Canis lupus familiaris: one gene and its partner. The protein of the gene in region 1 purifies or fractionates together with the protein of each later gene. This does not show direct contact. Links are inferred from orthologs where the notes say so. Each region holds a gene or a part of one and is shown on either strand. Other genes may lie near its edges.

Evidence for each region. The genes of interacting proteins can lie anywhere in the genome.
Region 2: the proteins of RPLP0 (region 1) and RPLP1 fractionate together in Homo sapiens (co-fractionation; 5 studies listed by BioGRID and IntAct, with this or other methods). This does not show direct contact. The link is inferred for Canis lupus familiaris from reciprocal best matches to the Homo sapiens genes RPLP0 and RPLP1.

The regions. Positions count from the first base shown.
Region 1 is NC_049247.1:16,495,345-16,505,574, forward strand, and holds the start of RPLP0 (60S acidic ribosomal protein P0), read right to left. Parts: upstream 5,133-10,230; 5' UTR 5,085-5,132; coding exon 5,031-5,084; intron 3,417-5,030; coding exon 3,241-3,416; intron 3,129-3,240; coding exon 3,041-3,128; intron 2,922-3,040; coding exon 2,775-2,921; intron 2,666-2,774; coding exon 2,480-2,665; intron 706-2,479; coding exon 565-705; intron 210-564; coding exon 48-209; 3' UTR 1-47.
Region 2 is NC_049251.1:33,774,015-33,784,221, forward strand, and holds RPLP1 (60S acidic ribosomal protein P1), read left to right. Parts: upstream 1-4,680; 5' UTR 4,681-4,816; coding exon 4,817-4,888; intron 4,889-5,531; coding exon 5,532-5,606; intron 5,607-7,203; coding exon 7,204-7,321; intron 7,322-7,535; coding exon 7,536-7,615; 3' UTR 7,616-7,655; downstream 7,656-10,207. UniProt on the Homo sapiens protein: Plays an important role in the elongation step of protein synthesis.

The DNA of each region.
Region 1 (10,230 bases):
TCCTTGTTTCACAAATAAACTTGGCTGAATTGGTTGCTTTTTGGTGATTAGTCAAAGAGACCAAATCCCATATCCTCGTCCGATTCCTCCGACTCTTCCTTTGCTTCAACCTTGGCTGGGGCTGCGGCAGCAGCAGGTGCAGCAGTGGTGGCAGCAGCCACAGGAGCAGCAGCCACAAATGCAGATGGATCAGCCAAGAAGGCCTTGACCTGAAGCAAGCAGAAAAGTTCATGATCAAAATGGTCACCCACAACCCCTACTAACCACAACCCCTCAGCTCTAGCTCAATGGCCAACAACTTCTAAGCCACTGAAGCCTTCCCCAGAAATGATCAGGCAAGACAGCTTGAGTATGGCCTGGTAAGTCTTAAGCCCCACTCTTATCCATCAACTAACCTCTTCCAGTCTCCTGTCATTTTTAAAGTCCAGGACACACCTCCCTGCTCCCAGCTTAAGTATACTCTTAAAAACGTATCTGCTTTGTAAAATACGATTAAAGCACAACTCCACACACTGCCATCCATTTATCCCATTTAAGGCCACTGTGGTCCTAGTGGGTTTTTACCTTTTCAGCAAGTGGAAAGGTGTAATCAGTTTCCACAGACAAAGCCAGGACCCGCTTGTATCCATTGATGATAGAATGGGGCACTGATGCAACAGTCGGGTAACCTATCTGCAGACATACGCTGGCAACGTTGCGGACACCCTAGAGAGAGGAAGAAATTACATTTCATTTTAAAAAAAAAATTTTTAAAGACTATTTATTAAAGAGAAGACACAGAGAGAGAGAGAGAGAGAGAGAGAGAGAGAGACGGAGACACAGAGGGAGAAGCAGGTTCCATGCAGGGAGCCCAATGTGGGACTCGATCCCAGGTCTCCAGGATCAGGCCCTGGGCTGAAGGTGGCGCTAAACCGCTTAGCCACCTGGGCCGCCCAGAAATTACATTTCAATTGAGGTATCTATCTTACAGACAAGACCGTGAAGCTCAAGCAAAGTTCAACAGCAGATAAGACTTCAAGACTGACTTGCTGTGTCTCACACCAAATGCTCCTGGCAAGGCAATTCAGACCCAGTAATTCATAAACATTTTTTGCCCTTACTCTAAACAGGAGTATTTCATACACCACAATGATGGCATTTACTTCAACAGTCCCCATTCTGTCATCATTCAGTTCCATGAGAAAAAAAAAGTTAAGCTAATTCCGATGAGAATTTCATCCACCATGAAATTTCCAAAAACAGCAGTATACATAACTGCAAATTTTTCATTTGTCCAAGAAAAGGAATTACATCTTTCATCACCTTACTTATCCATTTAAAAAATTTTTAATGGGGATCCCTGGGTGGCGCAGCGGTTTGGCGCCTGCCTTTGGCCCAGGGCGCGATCCTGGAGACCCGGGATCGAGTCCCACATCAGGCTCCTGGTGCATGGAGCCTGCTTCTCCCTCTGCCTGTGTCTCTGCGCCTCTCTCTCTCTGTGACTATCATAAATAAATAAAAAATTAAAAAAAAAAATTTTAATGCCGATGCCTGGGTGGCTCAGCAGTTGAGCGTCTGCCTTCAGCTCAGGATATGATCTCAGTTCTGGGATCGAGTCCCGCATCGGGATCCTGTATGGAGGCTGTTTCTCCTCCAGCTGCCTATGTCTCTGCCTCTCTGTCTCTCATTAATAAACAAAACCTTAAAAAAATTTTAATGGTAAAATTTTTTTTTTATTTTAAAGATTTATTTATTTACTCATGAAGACAGAGAAAGAGGCACAGACACAAGCAGAGGGAGAAGCAGGCTCCCTACAGGGAGCCCAATTCGGGACTCAATCCCGGATCCCGGGATCACGCCCTGAGCTGAAGGCGGACTCTCAACCGCTGAGCCATCCAGGTGTCCCTAATGGCAAAATCTAAGCAAACTAATCTCAGGTAAAGTCAGTTCTCCCCAGAGTGCTTGGCAACAACATTTATGTATCACACAGTCCTCACTTTTCTTTCTTCTTTACCTCAGGATACTACTCAAAAATTCCATGTTTTATTGCAGTCGCTAGAATAACAACGGCCCTCACTTCGTGCCCAGAGCTGCTAGAAAGCTTTCTATTCGTTATTTCTTTAAATCCGGGACGCCTGGGTGGCTCAGTGATTGAGCATCTGCCTTTGGCTCAGGGTGTGATCCTGGGATCATGGATGAGTCCCACACTGGGCTCCCTATGGGGAACCTGTTTCTCCCACTGCCTATTTCCCTGCCTAGGTCTCTCAGGAATAAATAAATCTTTTTAAAAAAAAAAAAAACAACAAACCAAACTCTTTAAAACTTCAACAACCTTATATTATTTTTATATTATTGCTGTTCTACAGATGAGGTAACTAAACAGATTAAATAACCATCTTGATTATGCGGCTGATTTCAGCTGCACAGCCGGAATCCAGTCTGAAGCTAGCCATACTCTCAACCATTAATGTACCAAGGGCCTGAAATGGACAGCTTGTACCTCCAAGAAGCGAGAATGCAGAGTTTCCTCTGTGATGTCAAGCACTTCAGGGTTGTAGATGCTGCCATTATCAAACACCTGCTGGATGATCAGCCCAAAGGAGAAGGGGGAGATGTTCAGCATGTTGAGCAGTGTGGCTTCGCTGGCTCCCACTTTGTCTCCGGTCTTAATCAGCTGCACATCACTCTGAAGAACAAGTAACAGTGGGCGGTCAACACCTGAACAGCCAGCAGGTCCACAGCAACCAAGCCCCCACCACTTGCCTGGCTAGCACTGGCCAGCCAAGTCCACTCACCAAGATTTCAATGGTGCCCCTAGAGATCTTAGTGGTAATGCCTAAAGCCTGGAAGAAAGAGGTCTTCTCGGGCCCCAGACCTGTGTTCTGGGCTGGCACAGTGACTTCACATGGAGCTATGGCACCAGCACGGGCAGCAGCAGGAACCTGAAGGGAAACAATATTAATTAGTCTCCTCTCCACAAATACAAGCTGAAAATGGTCAATTTTCCTTGTAAGAAGCAAAATTAATTACGAGACTCTAGCCAACCTGATTATCTTCTTACCTTATTGGCCAGCAGCATGTCCCTGATCTCAGTGAGGTCCTCCTTGGTGAATACAAAGCCCACATTCCCCCGGATATGAGGCAACAGTCTGCAAAGAAAGTTTGCAAGAGAGTGTCACCATTCAGTACTGATTCTTCTCTGGGAAAGGGGAGAAGGGTACCGAGAAAGGAGGACAAAGATGCCCAGGAGAATGAACTGACTTCTCCAGGGCTGGGTTGTTCTCCAGATGCCCTCGGATGGCCTTGCGCATCATGGTGTTCTTGCCCATCAGCACGACAGCCTTCCCGCGGAGGGACATGCGGATCTGCTGCATCTGCTTTGAACCCACATTGTCTGCTCCCACAATGAAGCATTTTGGATAATCATCCAAAAGTTGCTACAAAGACAAGCCAGAAACAATGTTTAGCAGGAGGAAAGAGAAACATCAAGAAAAACCAAACCCCATAATCACCGGCTTCCATCTCACTCCCTTCCTTCTAGGCTTTTTAAGTGACTCAGAAATTGGGACAAGTCCTCCCACTGGGAGCTATGAGTTGTAAAACTGTCAAATTTATCAAAGATTTGTACACTGAGTACGAATAGTGAAAATGAAGTTTCTAATTCAATCCCCCAATTTTTTTTTTTTTATCGTAACATTCATTTTTGCGGCACCTGCATGGCTCAGTTAAGCGTCTGCCTTTGCCTCAGGTCATGATCCCAGGGTCCCTGCATTGGGCTTCCTGTTCATGCTCTCTCACTCACCCTCAAATTTTTTTTAGACTTTATTTATTCATGAGAGAGAAACAGGCAGAGACAGAAGCAGAGGGAGCAGCAGCCTCCATGCATGAAGCCCGATGTGGGACTGGATCCCGGGATCTCACTCTGAGCCAAAAGGGCGAGATCCTGGGATCTCAAGATAATCTTCCCCAATTTTTAGGGATTCATTAAATGGCTGCATCAACAACAACAACAACAAAAAAGCCATTCCAAAAAAGGTAGGCTTACTGCAATAAACAAATACCAATAAAACAAACAACAAAACGCTACCTGCAGGATCTAGATTGTGGATATGGGACTACTGGACAATTCTTTTAAGTTTTCTGTGTCTGAAAACTTTCATGATAAATAGGGTAGAAGAGACTAAGCTCCACAAGGCAGCCTAATGCCTGCAAAACAGGATGGTCTGCATTTCTGGGCAGGGAGGATTCCCCCACCCTCAAGACCATCCGTGAAAACACATTAACGGGATTTTTTTTTTTTTTTTTTTAAAGATTTGAGGATCCCTGGGTGGTGCAGCAGTTTGGCGCCTGCCTTTGGCCCAGGGCGGGATCCTGGAGACCCGGGACCGAATCCCACGTCGGGCTCCCGGTGCATGGAGCCTGCTTCTCCCTCTGCCTATGTCGCTGCCTCTCTCTCTCTCTCTCTCTCTCTCTCTAGGACTATCATAAATTAAATAAATAAATAAATAAATAGGATTTGAGAAAAAGGTGCACTCAGGAGCAGGGAGGGGCTGAGGGCCAAGCAAACCCCCCACTGAGCAGGGAGCCCCAAGCTGGGCTAGTACCCAGGACCCTGGGATCATGATCCCAGCGGAAGAAGGCAGATGCTTAACTGTCTGAGCCACCCAAGTACCCATGAGGTGTTTGGTATCGTGATAAGACCTAATATGCAACAAGTTACCACTTTATAATGAGTCACTCATTGGCTCAGGCGTTCCCAAAACGGGGGCAGAGGAGCATTTAGTATAAATGCTATTTGGAAGCCAGACAGACCACAGTATGAATGCTGTCATCTTAGGAGCCACTCAACCTGCCTGAGCCCATTTACCTGCAACAAGGAGGGGAGAAGGCGCAGATCTCCGCACACTGCGAAAATTAAACGAGATTTGCCTAAAATGGTCATTTAGTAGCCGGTACCCAGGAGATGCTCAACACCCGACAGCTCACGGTCCCTGTCAGTGCCCAGGGCCCAAGCAGCAAAACGGGTTACCGCGACCCATCTCCGCACTTACGATGATCTTAAGGAAGTAGTTGGATTTCCAGGTCGCCCTGTCTTCCCTGGGCATCACGGCGGTGCGTCAGGGATTGCCACGCAGGGTTTAAAGACGATGTCACTGCGGGGAGAGAGGGAGCTCAGACAGCCCTCGACACCCGTCACCTCGGCCCCACCGGGCTCCAAGCCCGAGGCCTATGCGGGGCGGGCCACACGTGAGCGCGCGCCCGCCCGCCCGCCCGGCTCGGGGTTGCCGCCGCCGCCGCCACTCGGGGAGCGCAAGCCCCCGCCGAGGCCCCAGGCCCAAGAGCCCTGGGCCCGGCCCCTCCCGTGATCTCACAAAGAGCCCCCCCCATCTCCCCGCGGCCCGGGCCCGGACCGACGGCAGCGGCCACACGAACCTCCCACGAGGACGCCTGGAGAGAGGAGGGCCGCGCGCCGGCGCACACCTTTTATATGTGAGCCGAGCGGCCAATCAAAAGACCCAGACAGTCTCCCCACCCCTTAGCTGGCGCCGACGTCTGCCTGGTGACGCCACCCTGAGGTCGGCAGCCATTGGACGATGGTGCTGCCACTCTAGACAACGGGAAGCCGCCTTTAAACCAAGCGGTTAAGGAAGACGCTGTTTCCTGTTGGAGGAGCCGGCTCCAAGCTGCTGCCCTCTGCTGGGCTGGAGGTGCTCGGGTGCAAGGGCTAGAGCTCGCGAGCTGAGCGCTGTTTCCGCCTGCCCCCTGGCCAAACCGCAAACTGAAAAGAATACTATGTGGAACTGAGGAATAATTGCACATGCTTTTTAGAAACAGCATGGTCTCTTGTCTACTTGACAATTTGTTCTTCTCCCTACCAAAACGGAGGAACCCTTTGAAACCTAAGTCACGGGCCGCCCGGGTGGCTCAGCGGTTTAGCGCCTGCCTTGGGCCCAGGGCGTGACCCTGGAGACCTGGGATCGAGTCCCACGTCGGGCTCCCTGCATGGAGCCTGCTCCTCCCTCTGCCTGTGTCTCTGCCTCTCTCTCTGTCTCCCATGAATAAATAAATTATTTAACAACAACAACAACAATAATAACAACAACAAAAAAAAGCCAAGTCAGGGGCACCTGGGTAGCTCAGTCGGTTAAGTGCTTTAGGCTCTAGTCATGATCCTGGGGTCCTGGGATCCAGCTGCGCATGGAGCTCCCTGCTCAGCGGGGAGCCTGCTTCTGCCGCTCCTTCCTGTTTCTGCTCTCTAATAAATAAATAAAATCTTTACAAAATAAATAAAACCTAAGTCAGATCATTACCTCATCTGCTCAAAATTCCTCAAAGGTTTCCCATTTCCTCAGTATAAAAGCCTAAAACTTAAACTGCGTACGATCTGCTCTGGACCTCCCCCTCTGTAATCTCGACTCTTTTCCTCCTGACTCATTCCCTTCCAGCCTGTCGAGGCTCTTTGCGTTTTTCCAAAGCATGCTCCCACTTGAGGGGTCTTGCACTAGCTAGTGCCTCTTCCTGGAAGGCTTGCTGACATTCATAAAAGTAACTCAACTTCATCAAGTCTTGGCTCAAATATCATGTGTTCAAAGGAGCCCTACCCTAATTGCCCTGTTTAAAATTACCCAAAAAATCCACTACCACTCCTCCCTTAACTCTGCTCTATTTTTAAGGTAGCACTTACACCTTTTTCTTCTTTTTTTTTTAGCACTTACATCTTGTAACAGTGTATAATTTACTATGTTGTTAGTTGTCTGTCTCTCACTGCGGGAATGCAGGCTTCCCAAAGCAGAGCCATTTGTCTTGTGCCTGGCACATAGCAGGCATATAACAAATATTTATTGAGTGAATGAATGCAAGGTTTGCAGTCAGAAGACCTAGATCCTTCTTCTACCACTTGCTAACTGTGTAACTGTGTCCATCCTAGGAAGCGATTGATTGATTTTTAAGATTTTATTTATTTATTTATTCATGAGAGACACACAGAGAGAGGCAGAGACAAGCAGCCTCCTCACAGGGAGCCTGATGCAGGACAATCCTTGGACTGGGATCACTCCCTGAGCCAAAGGCAGACACTCAACCACCAAGCCACTCAGGTGTCCCTTAGGAAGTAATTTCATCTTGCTGACCCTCCGTTTCCCTTTCCTTAACTGTAAAAATGGGAGTAATGAAGTATCCCCATTCTAGAGTTGCTATGAGGATTAAATGAGATATGTGTTAAGACTTAATATAGTCCCTGGAATGTAGGCAGAAATCACTAAATTCTTGTTTCTTTTATTATACATTCATTCAACACTTATTTGAATATTTGTGCTATATCTATATATCTATATCTATATGTTTTTTTGGTAATGATTGAGGTAGATTCTAGGCCTGAAGGAGTGTTTCTATCTTCACCCTTTCAAGTTAGAAATTTCTGTGTTTTTCAAAGCTTCTGATGTTGCTTCTGGTGACCAGCTGTTTAGAGAACTGTTAGAGTCAATTACTGCTAAGATCTTTTTTTTTTAAGATCTCTTTTTAATGACAATATATTACTGCATGCTCAGCATTGCACTAAGTACTTTGTCCACATTACTGCTGTGAATCCTTGCAACAATTCCCTGAGGAGGTACAGTATTAGCATTTCCGTTCATCAATGATAAAATTCACAGAGAGGTTAAACAACTTGCTCAAGCCCCAATAAACACTGACTTGGGAAATGAAATCTAGGAGCAAGTTCAAAGCCCATGGGCTTCATGATGCTATACATTGCCTTCTAAATTCTGAGGCTGTCTCTCCCTAAATGCCCTTTTTCAACTATATACATACTCACATGGTACCTTTCCAAGGACATCCTGGCTCTCATGATATAAATATCTCTAATTGTAGTACATCAATATAATGGAACATCATGAAGCCATTAAAAAATGATGCAGGTCTCTATTTATTGACATGGGAAAATACTCACAAAGTACAGTTGAGTGAAAAAGCAAATTACAGTGAAACATGCCATATCCATTTCTATAAATAAAATGAATTCAACATGGTCCAGAAGAATAAACCATCAGCACTTTCAGTGATGGTCGAAGGTACTTTCCACTTGAGTGCACCGTGAAATGGCCAAGATTCCAACTAAAATTCAACATGCTGCTTTTGGAAAACCATTCTAGAGAACGGAGAAATTATGAAGCATCTCAAAGGGGAACAATGCTATCCAGGAAGCTCCTGAGGCTCAGGACTATAGCATGCAAATATGGATACGACCACCAGGGGGCAGAAAAGACCCACCCTCAAATGTAAATTTGCCAACTTCCGCTGGGAAGGTTCCACACCCAAGGTGTAGTGCCAGCACGTGGGGTGGGGGGTGTCTGGCCAAAGCAGGAACACAGGCAGAGGCAAGCCCCGGGTTCACATCCTGCCTCTGTGCTCACTCAGGACCGTTTTGTGCATGTCAGTTCTCTTCTCTGAACCTCTTTCCGGAGCTGTAAATAAGGGTGAGGCCACCCACAGGCCCACCTGAGGGTGCCCTCAGCAAGTCTACAAGCAAAGCACTAGGGCAGGGCCTGAGCCACACAAGGCCCAACAACACTGTTCCCCCTGCTTTTCCTCACCAGCTGCTGGAGAAATGCAAAGCTCACACAGGAATCCCATCCCCCAGGGCTGTCTGCCTCAAAGAAGGGAACATCACTGAGTTACCTTCAATATGGTCCCCCTGAGTCTGGGGAGGGTTTGGTCTCTCTTCTGGTACTAAGTTGCTACCTCAGACTGCCAAGAAAAGGAACTAGGCATGGGTGAAAATAATGGCAAACTTTATTGGCATAAATCACAGGAATTGACATGGGGAAAAGCCAGGTTAGAAGTTTACAGAGAAAAAAATAAAATCAAATCAAATAACCATTGACCCAGAGGGTGGACCCCAGACACCCCAGTCCCCCTAGGGGAGGGGCCTGGGGCAGGTCACTGTAAACAGAGCAATAAGGCTTATGGGTGGAGTGGAGTTATCAGACCTTTGGAGGGGCCTGGCTGACCTCCTCAGACCGGGGCTGCTTCCAGTCCTGCCTCAAAGGAGGGGACCCTCTTCTGAGACCCCCACATGCTCAGCCTCTGCTGTGAAGCTAGTGAAGTGGTCTGGACCTTCCTCACTTTAGACCCCACGGGGGCCCCTTTCTGCTGACTCAGAAGCCCAGGCCTACCTGTTCCTGTTTCATCCTTGAGGGACAGAGCTCTGGGGGCTTCCTGCTACTTTAGCAGGATCCTGTCCCGCTGCCCAGAGTCCTATCGGGCTCTGTTGCCACATCCTGGGCCCTTTCCCCTAGACCTCCAGTCTCCAGGGAGGGCAGGAAATTTGGGGAAACGGTGGGCCCAGTGGAACCAACAAAACTAATGGTCAAAACAACACACCAGCTTTCTTGACAAGGCAGAAAAGCGGCGTGGAGGCCAAGAATGTTCAATGGGTTCTCTTGTTGCCAAAAAGTTCACAGGGGAGCAAGGCTCCTGATGCCTTACTCGGGCAGGAATCAGCACCCCTAAAGTATACTTTCCCCTTTTCCTCCCTCAGGAACAGGACAGATGAGGTTCAGAGTTCTAGGCCCCAAAGGGCAAGACATCCTGAGGCCAGTGTCATTAAGAGCTTGCTGGCCCAGGTAGTATCCAGGAAGGGGTTTTAAAATACAGCAGTTTATAAAACAGTCCTGGTGAGCTGTGAAGTTAAGGAAGGGGAGTCAGAAAGCTGCTCCCAATTCACCTGCTTGTGCTAAGAAAAAATAAAATACAAATTGCTTCCCCACCCCAAGCCCTCAGTACAAGGCAAACCCCATACCACAGCCATCATCACCAACAGGACCAGTGGCCATGGATGAGAAGAGTATAAAAAGGGACAGCTTTAAAATCTCTTCAAAATCATTTTGTATAGAGAAGTAAAAGCAACTCAGACAATATGAATTCAAACCTCAGTGTAGAAATCTATCAAAGTCGATACAGTGTCCAGGCACGGGGTGAAACTCCCCACCTCACACCACCCCAGAGATGGAGGAAGTGACTATAAAACATTATTGCTGGAGAGAGGCCTTTCTCAGTAGAACCAGAGCAGTTGTGGGGGTTTGGGGGGCAGCTGCCCAGGCCTGGGGAGACTGGAAGGGCAAGAGGAGCCCGAGAAACCCTCTGCGGCCCCTCGAACACTTCCACCCTTGGACAGATGGATTTATGCTGGCATTGTCTGAAGGGAGTGGGTATCCCCCATTACTCTCAGGACAAGGATAATTAGGTTGGGAC
Region 2 (10,207 bases), on another chromosome or scaffold:
CATTGCATCACCAAAATTTATTAAGCAAATACTAACATTCCAAAGGAGAAACAGACAATACAATAACAGTTGGGGACCTAGGTGCCCCTCTGTCAGCAATGAATAAATCATCCAGGTAGAAAATCAACAAAGAAACTGAACTACAGAACATAAGAACTTAATATTAGAGCATTCTAACCAACAGGGGCATAACACACATTCTTTTTCAGTGCACATGAAGTATTTTCCAGATCATATGATAGGGCACAAAACAAATCTCAGCAAATTTAAGAAAACAAAACAAATCAACTATCTTTTCTGACCATAATGGTATGAAACTAGGAATCAACAACAAAAGGGAGATTGAAAATTTAAAAATATGTGGAAACGACACAACATACTTTTGAATAACCAATGTGTCAAGAAATCAAAGGGAAACATTACCTTGAAACAAATGAAAATGGAAATATAGCATATCAAATCATAGAATGCAGTGAAAGTTCTGAAAGAAAAGCTTATAGGAATAAATGCATATGTTAAGGAATCAGAAAAATCACAAATAACCTTTCCCCTCAAAGAACTAGGAGAAACCAGCTCAAAGTTAGTGGAAGGAAGGAAATTATAAATACCAGAGCGACGGACGCCTGGTGGCTCAGCAGTTAAGCATCTGCCTTCCGCTCAGGGCATGATCCTGGGATCCGGGATCAAGTCCCACCTTGGGCTCCTTGAGGGGAGCCTGCTTCTCCCTCTACGTCTCTGCTTCTCTCTCTGTGTATCTCTCATGAATAAATTAATAAAATCTTATAAAAAAATCAGAGCGAAAATAAATGGAATAGAGACCAGAGAAATAGAAAGGATCAACAAAACTAAAAGTTCTTTAAAAAGGTAAGCAAAATCAACAGATCTTTAACCAGATTAAGATAAAAAAACTCAAAGAAGAAATGAAAAAGGACACATTACAACTGATACTACAGACATACATACATACTACTATGAAAAAATTGCATATCAACAAATTAGACACCCAGAAGAAATGGGTACGTTTCTAGAAACACACCATCAATCCACCAAGCCTAAGAAGAAATGAAATATCTGAAAGGATGAATAATGACTAGAGAGACTGAATCAGTAATCAAAACCCTCCCAACACAGAAAACCCCAGCACCAGATGGCTTCACCAGACCTTCAAAGAACAATTAACAGCAGTCCTTCTCAAACTCCTGCAAAGAAATGATGAGGCTGGGATACTTCCAAACTCATTATATAAGGTCAGATACCAAAGTGAGACCAGGACACAGCAAAAAAAACAGAAGTATCCCTAATGAATATAAATGGAAAAATTCTCTATGAAATATTAGCAAACTGAATTCAAGGACACAAAAAGAATTATACACCATGATCAGGTGGGATTTATCTCTGGGATGCAAGGATGGTTCAATATATGCCAATCAACAAATATATCACATTAATACAATGAAAGATAGGGGTACCTGGGTGGCTCAGGTCATGATCCCAGAGTCCTGGGATCGTGCCCCACGTGGGGGAGTCTGCTTCTCCATCTGACACCCCGGTGTTCTCCTGCAGACCTGTCCAATCCAACTGCCCCCAGGTGTCCCTCCAAAGTGACTCCTGTCCTAAGGCACGGTGGAAATAAGCTCATGCACCAACATGCCTACAGTTCCTGCAGCTGAGCCTCTCAGCTGACTGCACGGAGCAAGCCTTGGCTGTTGGTGTGCCCACAGCTGAGGCATATAGGCTAAGTGTAGACAGCTGGACTGTCAGTCCTGTCCACTAATGAAACCCACTGCTGCTGCAGAGGCCTCTCAACAGCGGGCAGTAAACTCTGAGGATGCCACAGCAGGCGGTGCAGCTAAGGGAAGCTAGCAGAGCTGAAGGCAATGGCAGCTCAGCCACAACACAGCCCACAAAGGGGACACCTCTTGAGCACCTGGTTCTGGTTACCATGGTGGGGGGTGGGGGGACTGCACTACAGGGCACCACAAGACCTTTTCTACACAAGGCCACTATTTTCAAGACCAGGAGATATAGCGGATTTACCTAATACACAAAACACAGACACAACGAGGAGACAAGGATATGTCCCAAATCAAAGAATAAGACAAAATCACAGTAAAAGAGCTAAATGAAACAGATAATACTCTTGATAAACAATGCAAAGTAATGGTCATAAAGATTCTCACTGGACCTGAGAAAAGACGGCTGTGACATCATCAAGTATAATAGTATTCACATCATGGAGTGCCAGAGAGAGAGAGAAAAGATAGAAAACTCATTTGAAGAAAAAACAGCTGAAAACTTCACCACTTAGGGGAAGGAAACAAACACCCAGGTTCAGAAAGGAAAGAGAGCCCCCAACAAGGTGAACACAGGAGGTCCACACTGAAACACATAATTAAAATGGCAAAAAGTGATGATAAAGACACAATTTTATTTTTTTATTTTTATTTATTTATTCATGAGAGCTACGGGGGGGGGGGGGGGGCAGAGACATAGGCAGAGGGAGAAGCAGGCTCCATGCAGGGAGCCATGCAGGGAGCTCCACGTGGGACTCGATCCCAGGACTCCAAGATCACGCCCTGGGCTGAAGGCAGATGCTCAACTGCTGAGCCACCCAGGGATCCCGATAAAGACACAATTTTAAAAGCAGAGAAGCAAAACAAGTTACGACGGAAAATCCCATAAAGCTATGAGCTGATTTGTCAACAGAAACTATGCAGGCCTGGGCAGCCCGGGTGGCTCAGCGGTTTAGCACCGCCTTCAGCCCAGGGTGGGATCCTGGAGACCTGGGATCAAGTCCCATGTCAAGCTCCCTGCATGGAGCCTGCTTCTCCCTCTGCCTGTGTCTCTGCCTCTCTCTTTCCCTAAGTCTCTCACTGAATAAATAAATAAATAAAATCTTAAAAAAAAAAAAAAAGAAACTATGCAGGCCAGAAGAAAGTGGCATGATATATTATTCAAAGGGCTAAAAGGAAAAAAAAAAAACAAGAATACTTCACTTAGCAAGGTTATTGCTCAGAAATGAAGGAGAGATTAAGCTTCCCAGACAAACAAAAGTTAAACTGGCCTAATAAGAAACGTTAAGGGGGATTCTTTAATTGGAAAAAGGCCATAACTAGAAGAAAATTATGAAAGGAAAAAATTTCACAACTAAAAACAAACATACAATAAAGGTAGTAGGTTTATCCCTTATAAAACCCATATGGAAGTTAAAACACAAAAGTAGTAAAATCAATTATATCTACAAAATTAGCCAAAGCATTCGCAAAATAAAAAGATGTGAAATACGACATCATATACATAAAATGTGAAGGGAGAGTAAAAATTTAGAGCTTTTAGAATGTGTTCAAACTTAATATAGACTGCAATATATATAAAATGTTATACATGAATCCAGTGGTGATCGCAAATCAAAAACCTGTAAGAGGGCAGCCCGGGTGGATCAGCAGTTTAGCGCTGCCTTTGGCCCAGGGTGTGATCCTAGAGGCCCAGGATTGAGTCCCACGTCGGGCTCCCTGCATGGAGCCTGCTTCTCCCTCTGCCTGTGTCTCTGCCTCTGTCTGTGTGTCCCTCATGAATAACTAAATAAAATCTTTAAAAAAAGAGAGAACAGATTGGTGGTTGCCAGAGGGAGGGATGGGATGGGCGAAGGGGGTAAAAAATTACAAACCTGAAGTTAAAAGTCACTGTGGGTGTAACGTACGACATGGTGACGATAGTTAATAGGACTGTGTGTCATATTTAAAGGCTGCCAAGAAAGCAGACCTTAAAAATGGCTATTTATGTATAGTGATGTATGTTAACCAAGACTTACCATTTTTGCAATACACACAAATAGCGAATCATAATGCTATACTCCGGAAATAAAAAATGTCATGTCAATCATACCTCAAAAAAAAAAAAATAAAAAAAGAAAGAAAAAGAAAGAAAAAGCCCAACAACTCTCAATACGAATCCAACACCGATTTTATTAAGTTTCAAAAGATACAAAGTGGCAATGCAGCACCTACACAGAGAGAGGTTGCTTCAACTCATCTTTGGTATCTTAAGGGCACGTTCGAGGCATTTCCACCCAAACACGGAGTGCCTTCGTTATACCAAATGCAACTGTCACGGAAAGCTCCCCTTCCTTCCCAGTAGATCCCTAATACGTAGGTCCCTAACAGTACTCACCCCCTGCGCTGTGCAAGGATGCGGGGAGTCCCGGCAGGCCGCGGCTCAGCGCCCGGGGCACGGTAGGCGCTCGGATGCTGCTGCTGCAGCTGCTGCAAGCTTCTCTTTTCCTCCTGCAGCTTTTTCTCTGGGACGTTGTCCTAAGCACCTGAGACCTCCCCGCAGACAGCTGCTGAGCTCCAGGTGCTCACAGCCCGCGGGGCGCGGGGGGGGGGGGGGGGGGGGGGGGGGGCCGCAGCCTGGTGACGTCATCAAACGTCCAAATAGCGTGACCCCGGATACACTACCTGGGGTGAACTCTATTTACTCAGGTCACTTTTTCCTAAAAGTATTTTTACTGTCTCAGGAGCCCCGAGTTTTACCCCAACCAAGAGAATTCGCAGCCGCAGGTGCCTGATAACCTCTTGACCCCGCTCACCAGCGTGTCGCGCTGTGTGCGCAGGCGCGTTCTCGCCCCGCCTCTTCCGCCAGGAGCGGGCGCCGATTGGTCCGTGGGATTCGTATAAGACGCTGCGCGCAGGCGCGGGACCTCCTTTCCTCAGCTGCCGCTAAGGTGCTCGGTCCTTCCGAGGAAGCTAAGGCCGCGTTGGGGTGAGGCCCTCACTTCAGCCGGCGACTAGCACCGCGCTCGGCACGCGCCCTCGCCATGGCCTCCGTCTCGGAGCTCGCCTGCATCTACTCGGCCCTCATCCTGCACGACGACGAGGTGACGGTCACGGTGAGTGCGGGCCCGGGCGGGCGTCGGCCTGCGGCCGGCCGCTTTCCGTGCGCTGGCGGGGCGCCCTGCTAGGCCCTTCCGGACGAAGCCGCGGCCATCGGCGTCCCGGCGGCGGTGCGGGCGGCCCACGTGCGTGCGTACGTGCGTGCTTACGTGCATGCGGGCCCCTGTGCGTGCCGGCGGGCGGTGCGGGTGGGCCCACGTGCGTGCCGGCGGGCGGTGCGGGCGGGCCCGCGTGCGTGCGTGCCCACGTGCGTGCTGGCTGGCGGGGCGGGCGGGCCCACGTGCGGGCGGGCAGACATCCTGACCCGTTTGCCCGGACGGCCTCCCCGGGCCAGGCTGCGGGATGCGGATGGAGCGCACGTCAGCTTGCTGCACCTGCCGCCCTGCGAGGTGCCCGGCACGCGGGGGCCGCTGCGTCTCCGGTGATCTAAGGGTCATGAGAAATTTTTCGTTTTAAATAAACGTACGCGAAATACAGACACAGTATTTGGTGCGGTTAAACGTGGTTTCTGGACACACGTTTTGAGTGATTTACTTTCAGTTGTAGTGGTTTGGAGACGTTTCCGAAAACTGCGCTTTGCTTGCTCGTGGAATGCGGGTTTTTTTTTTTTTTTTTTAACTTTTTAAATTATTTTTTTAGGAGGATAAGATCAATGCCCTCATTAAAGCAGCGGGTGTGAATGTTGAGCCTTTCTGGCCGGGTTTGTTTGCAAAGGTAAGGAAATGGCAGTAGAGTGATTTGGAGAAGCAGACTTGGGGAGATCAGGGATTTACAAAGTCAGGTGTACTTGTAACACGAGAACGGCTCATAGTTCCATATCTAGAGTCTAAAATTTGTCTTTAACTTCCTTTTTTTTTTTTTTTTTTTTTTAAAGATTTATTTATGAGAGATGCAGAGAGAGAGAGGCAGAAACACAGGCAGAGGGAGAAGCAGGCTCCATGCAGGGAGCCCAATGCAAGACTCGGCCCCGGTCTCCAGGGCCACGCCCTTGGCCGAAGGCAGGGGCTAAACCGCTGAGCTACCCCACACGTCCCCCTGTCTTTTCCTTGTTTGCAGTCTGGTTTCTTTTTCCTTCTGTTCTGAAATCATGACACACACACATATATATGTACATGTATACATAAATGTTACACACCCACCGGATGACTCCTTAAAAGAGTCACCCAGGAGGTAATACTGCCTATGCCCTTCCATTCTTCTTTTTAAATACATAACAATTTTATTGATCCATCAGAAAAAAATAAAAGTACAGTGTAACTTGCATCCCCACTGGGGCTAAATTAGCCCTTAAGCACAGATTATGATTCTTAAGTGCTGATTCTTCTCAATGTCCAAAGTTAATTTTTAATCAAGGATTTCTCCTGGAAATAAGATTTTAAATCGTTTTTCATTCGCATTAGGATAACCATTGAGATCGGCGTCCTGTATTATATGTAAGAAGAGGAATATTGTATGAGAGCTAGGACTCCCATTAGTTCATAGCTAATTTGTGCGACAATGAAATGGTAAAAACAGCAGTGACAGGCCCCAGAGATGAGTGTCCAACTGCCCCTACAGAGACATGGTCATGAATTGGTGTGAACCAGGGGCAGAGCTGTCCCTTATAAAATTGTCAAACTCTTTAACCTCATGAACATTTAGATCTCAGAACCGGGTTTCATGGAAATTGGATGTAGTGGCCCTTATTTTGAACATTGACTGTTGGGATATATATCAAAAGATCAATGAAGACAAGATTCTTACCCAAGGAACTTGGTATCATTTTCTATTACATATTATTTAGTCTCTGGTAAGAGGCAATTAGCTTTGTCTCTCCAGGTTGTGTCCTCCAAAGAGCTTTGAATGATTGAAAACATTGTACTTTCAATAAAGGTACTCCTCTTTAGTAAAGTCCCTGGACTTCGCAGTCTGAAAAATTGAATTCACTCTTAAGATGTGGAACTGGAAAGAATCTTGGTTTGAGTATTTAAGGAAGCTTGAGTTTTTTTGCCAACAACTGAAGCCAGCATTTTGCGGCCAGTTTTTCTCCTCTATAAAAGGAAGGAATTCAGTTACTCTAAGATTTTAAGCTTGAGTAGGTTTTCTTGTGATTAGTTTTTAATATAGCTCTGTGTCCCTAAGTCCTAGGAAATCTCAGCAGACAAAATGTCACTGGCAGATTGCAGCAAAGGAGAAGGAAGGGCAATGTAGTGTTGGGGATTGATTGCTGTCAGTTCAAAAGGGAGGTAAAGGTTACCTCCCTTTAGAGGTGGGAGGTTTGTAACAACAAAAGGCCAGAACTGAGTGTAATCTGTTTGCACGTGTGTTGCAGGCCCTGGCCAACGTGAACATTGGGAGCCTCATCTGCAATGTAGGAGCTGGTGGACCTGCCCCAGCAGCTGGCGCTGCGCCAGCAGGAGGTCCTGCTCCTTCCACCGCTGCTGCCCCAGGTAGAAAACTTTTTTGGTATTGGAGGGAGGAGCGTGGAGATTAAGAGCAATCCTGTCTGTAATACTTAGTTTGCTAAAAGAGTAGACGATAGAAATCCTAAAACCAGGGACATAGTTGGAAGTCTTGGGTATTTTTGACCATGTAAATTGAAGGGCCTGGAGCTCGTTGGAGTTTAAAATACTGACAAGGTGTGTTATTGTTTTTGTTTTTTAGCTGAGGAGAAAAAAGTGGAAGCCAAGAAAGAAGAATCTGAGGAGTCTGATGATGACATGGGCTTTGGTCTCTTTGACTAAACTTTTATAAGCTGCTCAATAAAAAGCTGAAGTCCTGGTTGCTGTCGGTTTTTCAGTTGTTTGAGGATGTTCTGTGTAAGGGTGATCTCATTTCTGCAACACTGGTTTTTAGCCTTTATTGGTATGACGCCAGCTGAGTTTACCCCCCTGCCATCACCTCATGGTGAGGAATAGTACACCAGCCAGGTGCTGCACCAAGAATGTACCTAATACTGCCTCTAGAACTGCATGGAGAGGTAGGAGAAGGGCAGATGCCTTGTCAGGGTCACCTTGAGTTCATGATAACCAGGTCTGTCCCTTTTGACAGGAATAAGAGTCAGTGGTAGTGGTGGTACAATCAAGGCCTCTTAAATCCCAAGTATAGGGGATCCCTGGGTGACTCAGCGGTTGAGGATCTGCCTTCGGCCCAGGGTGTGATCCTGGAGTCCTGGGATCAAGTCCCACACCAGGCTCCCTGCATGGAGCGTTTCTCCCTCTACCCGTGTCTCTTGTCTCTCTCTGTGTGTCTACAGAATAAATAGATAAAATCTTAAAAATCCCAAGTAGGGATCCCTGGGTGGCGCAGCGGTTTGGCGCCTGCCTTTGGCCCAGGGCGCGATCCTGGAGACCCGGGATCGAATCCCACATCGGGCTCCCAGTGCATGGAGCCTGCTTCTCCCTCTGCCTGAGTCTCTGCCTCTCTCTCTCTCTGTGACTATCATAAATAAATAAAAATTTAAAAAAAAAAATCCCAAGTATAATTCTGGCTACTGGCTACAAATTTTTGAGCTATGCTGAACCATCTGAAGTGGAATACTGATATATCCCTGGGTTTATAATTCAGCAATACTGTGAAGGAGTAGTGGAAATTCAGGTTTGAGTCCCCATTTACAGAGACTAAAACTAATTCAAACCTGTATTTGACTTAAGTAGGGTTTAGGGAAGGGGGTGGCTGAGCACTGGTGTGGAGACTGGTTCACTTTGAAATGTCAGAGGAACCCCTATTTGGACTTATAAAAAAGTCCTCAGAGCAATTAGTGCCAGGCATCTGAACATCTAACCCTTTCCTCTGTCTCCCAGTTTTAAGAGAGACCAGGAGTTGATGAAAAGACTTCGTAGCCCCAACTGTCCTCCAGTGAAAGATGTATAAGACCATTAGTGTTAAGTTACACCACCACATGGGTAAGTAGCTGGTGTACCTTACAAAATTGAACACCTAATCCAGCAGTTCTGTTCCTATAATTACCCAAGAGGAAGTATGGACATCTGGGTGCATCTCTGGGAATGTTAAAAGCAGTGTTTGAAAGCAAAAACCTCAAAGATCCATCAACCAGAAAACCAGTGATCCCAAATTATCAGCAGAGAAAGTGAGCTATGGATATAGAAGAATTCTTAAGGTTTAGATGTTACTGGTATTCAAGTTTTGGAGTTTTCATGTATTAGAATCCTTTGAGCATGTGAGGAATGGGTCATAAAGTGATTGTGGGGGTTCCCAGATGGTTAGGTAGAGCATGCAGCTCTGATCTTGGGGTTAAGAGTTCTAAGCCCCACGTTGGGTGAAGAGCTTAAGTACTTAATTTTCCTCCATCAGCTAATAGTGCTGTGCTGATCTCAAGCATGTCCTGTCCTCTGCACAACAATCCCATGGTAAGACCATGTCATGGGTCAGAGGTTAACTTGAGGTAAAGGCTAGTAAATGAGTGGAAGGATTCAGACAGGCTCCGACTGCTCCTCTCCCGGTGCCTCTGCTCCTTTCTCCTGTCCTGTGTCTAAGGACAACACCTGCCTCACTGGGTTCTAGAGATCTGAGATGACAGGAATTGTGCCTGGTGAGCCCTGAAGTGTCAGAAGGGAATATGGACACTTAGCCAAGGAAATATTTTGAACGGATTAAAGAACACTTAAGAAGATAAAGGAAAACTGTATCTAGAACAGCTGAAAATTAAGTGGTAAATTGGGATATAAGTATCAAGTTCAGTTATCCAAACTACAATGAAAATGTTTTCTGTAATACTCAAGTGGTAACATGGCCTCATGGGTGGGTCTAGCTTTCGAAAAGAAATCTTTTAAATGTAAAAATCTAAATACCTTTCTAAAGAATGATATTCAAACAAGGAGATCCACTTACATGTGTAGAGATGCTAACATTCATTTGATTTTGAATTATAAAGTCTGCCCAGGAGACCCTGGGTGGCCTAGTGGTTGAGCATCTGCCGTTGGCTGAGGTGATCCCGGAGTCCTGGGATCGAGTCCCGCATCGGGTTCCCCATAGGGAGTCTGCTTCTCCCTCTGCCTGTCTCTGCCTCTATATCTTTATATATATATATATATATATATATAAGTCCGCCCAGTTATACTCCCCTTTTAGTTTCCCTGACTCTTAATTTCCTCTGCAAAATGGGAATAATACCTAGTTTATACTGGGGGATGAACTTGCCCATCAATGTTTGCTGGTATGCAGATGTTATTTCCCTTCTGTGTAAGGTACAAAAAACACAGCTGGTATCCCTGGTTCTCAGAATCCCATGGTCCAGCAAGCCTAAGCCTTTGCCCTTCAAACCTCCTCCCTGCCAGTCATTTGCAATCAGGCAGCAGCTTTGGTTTCTCATGACT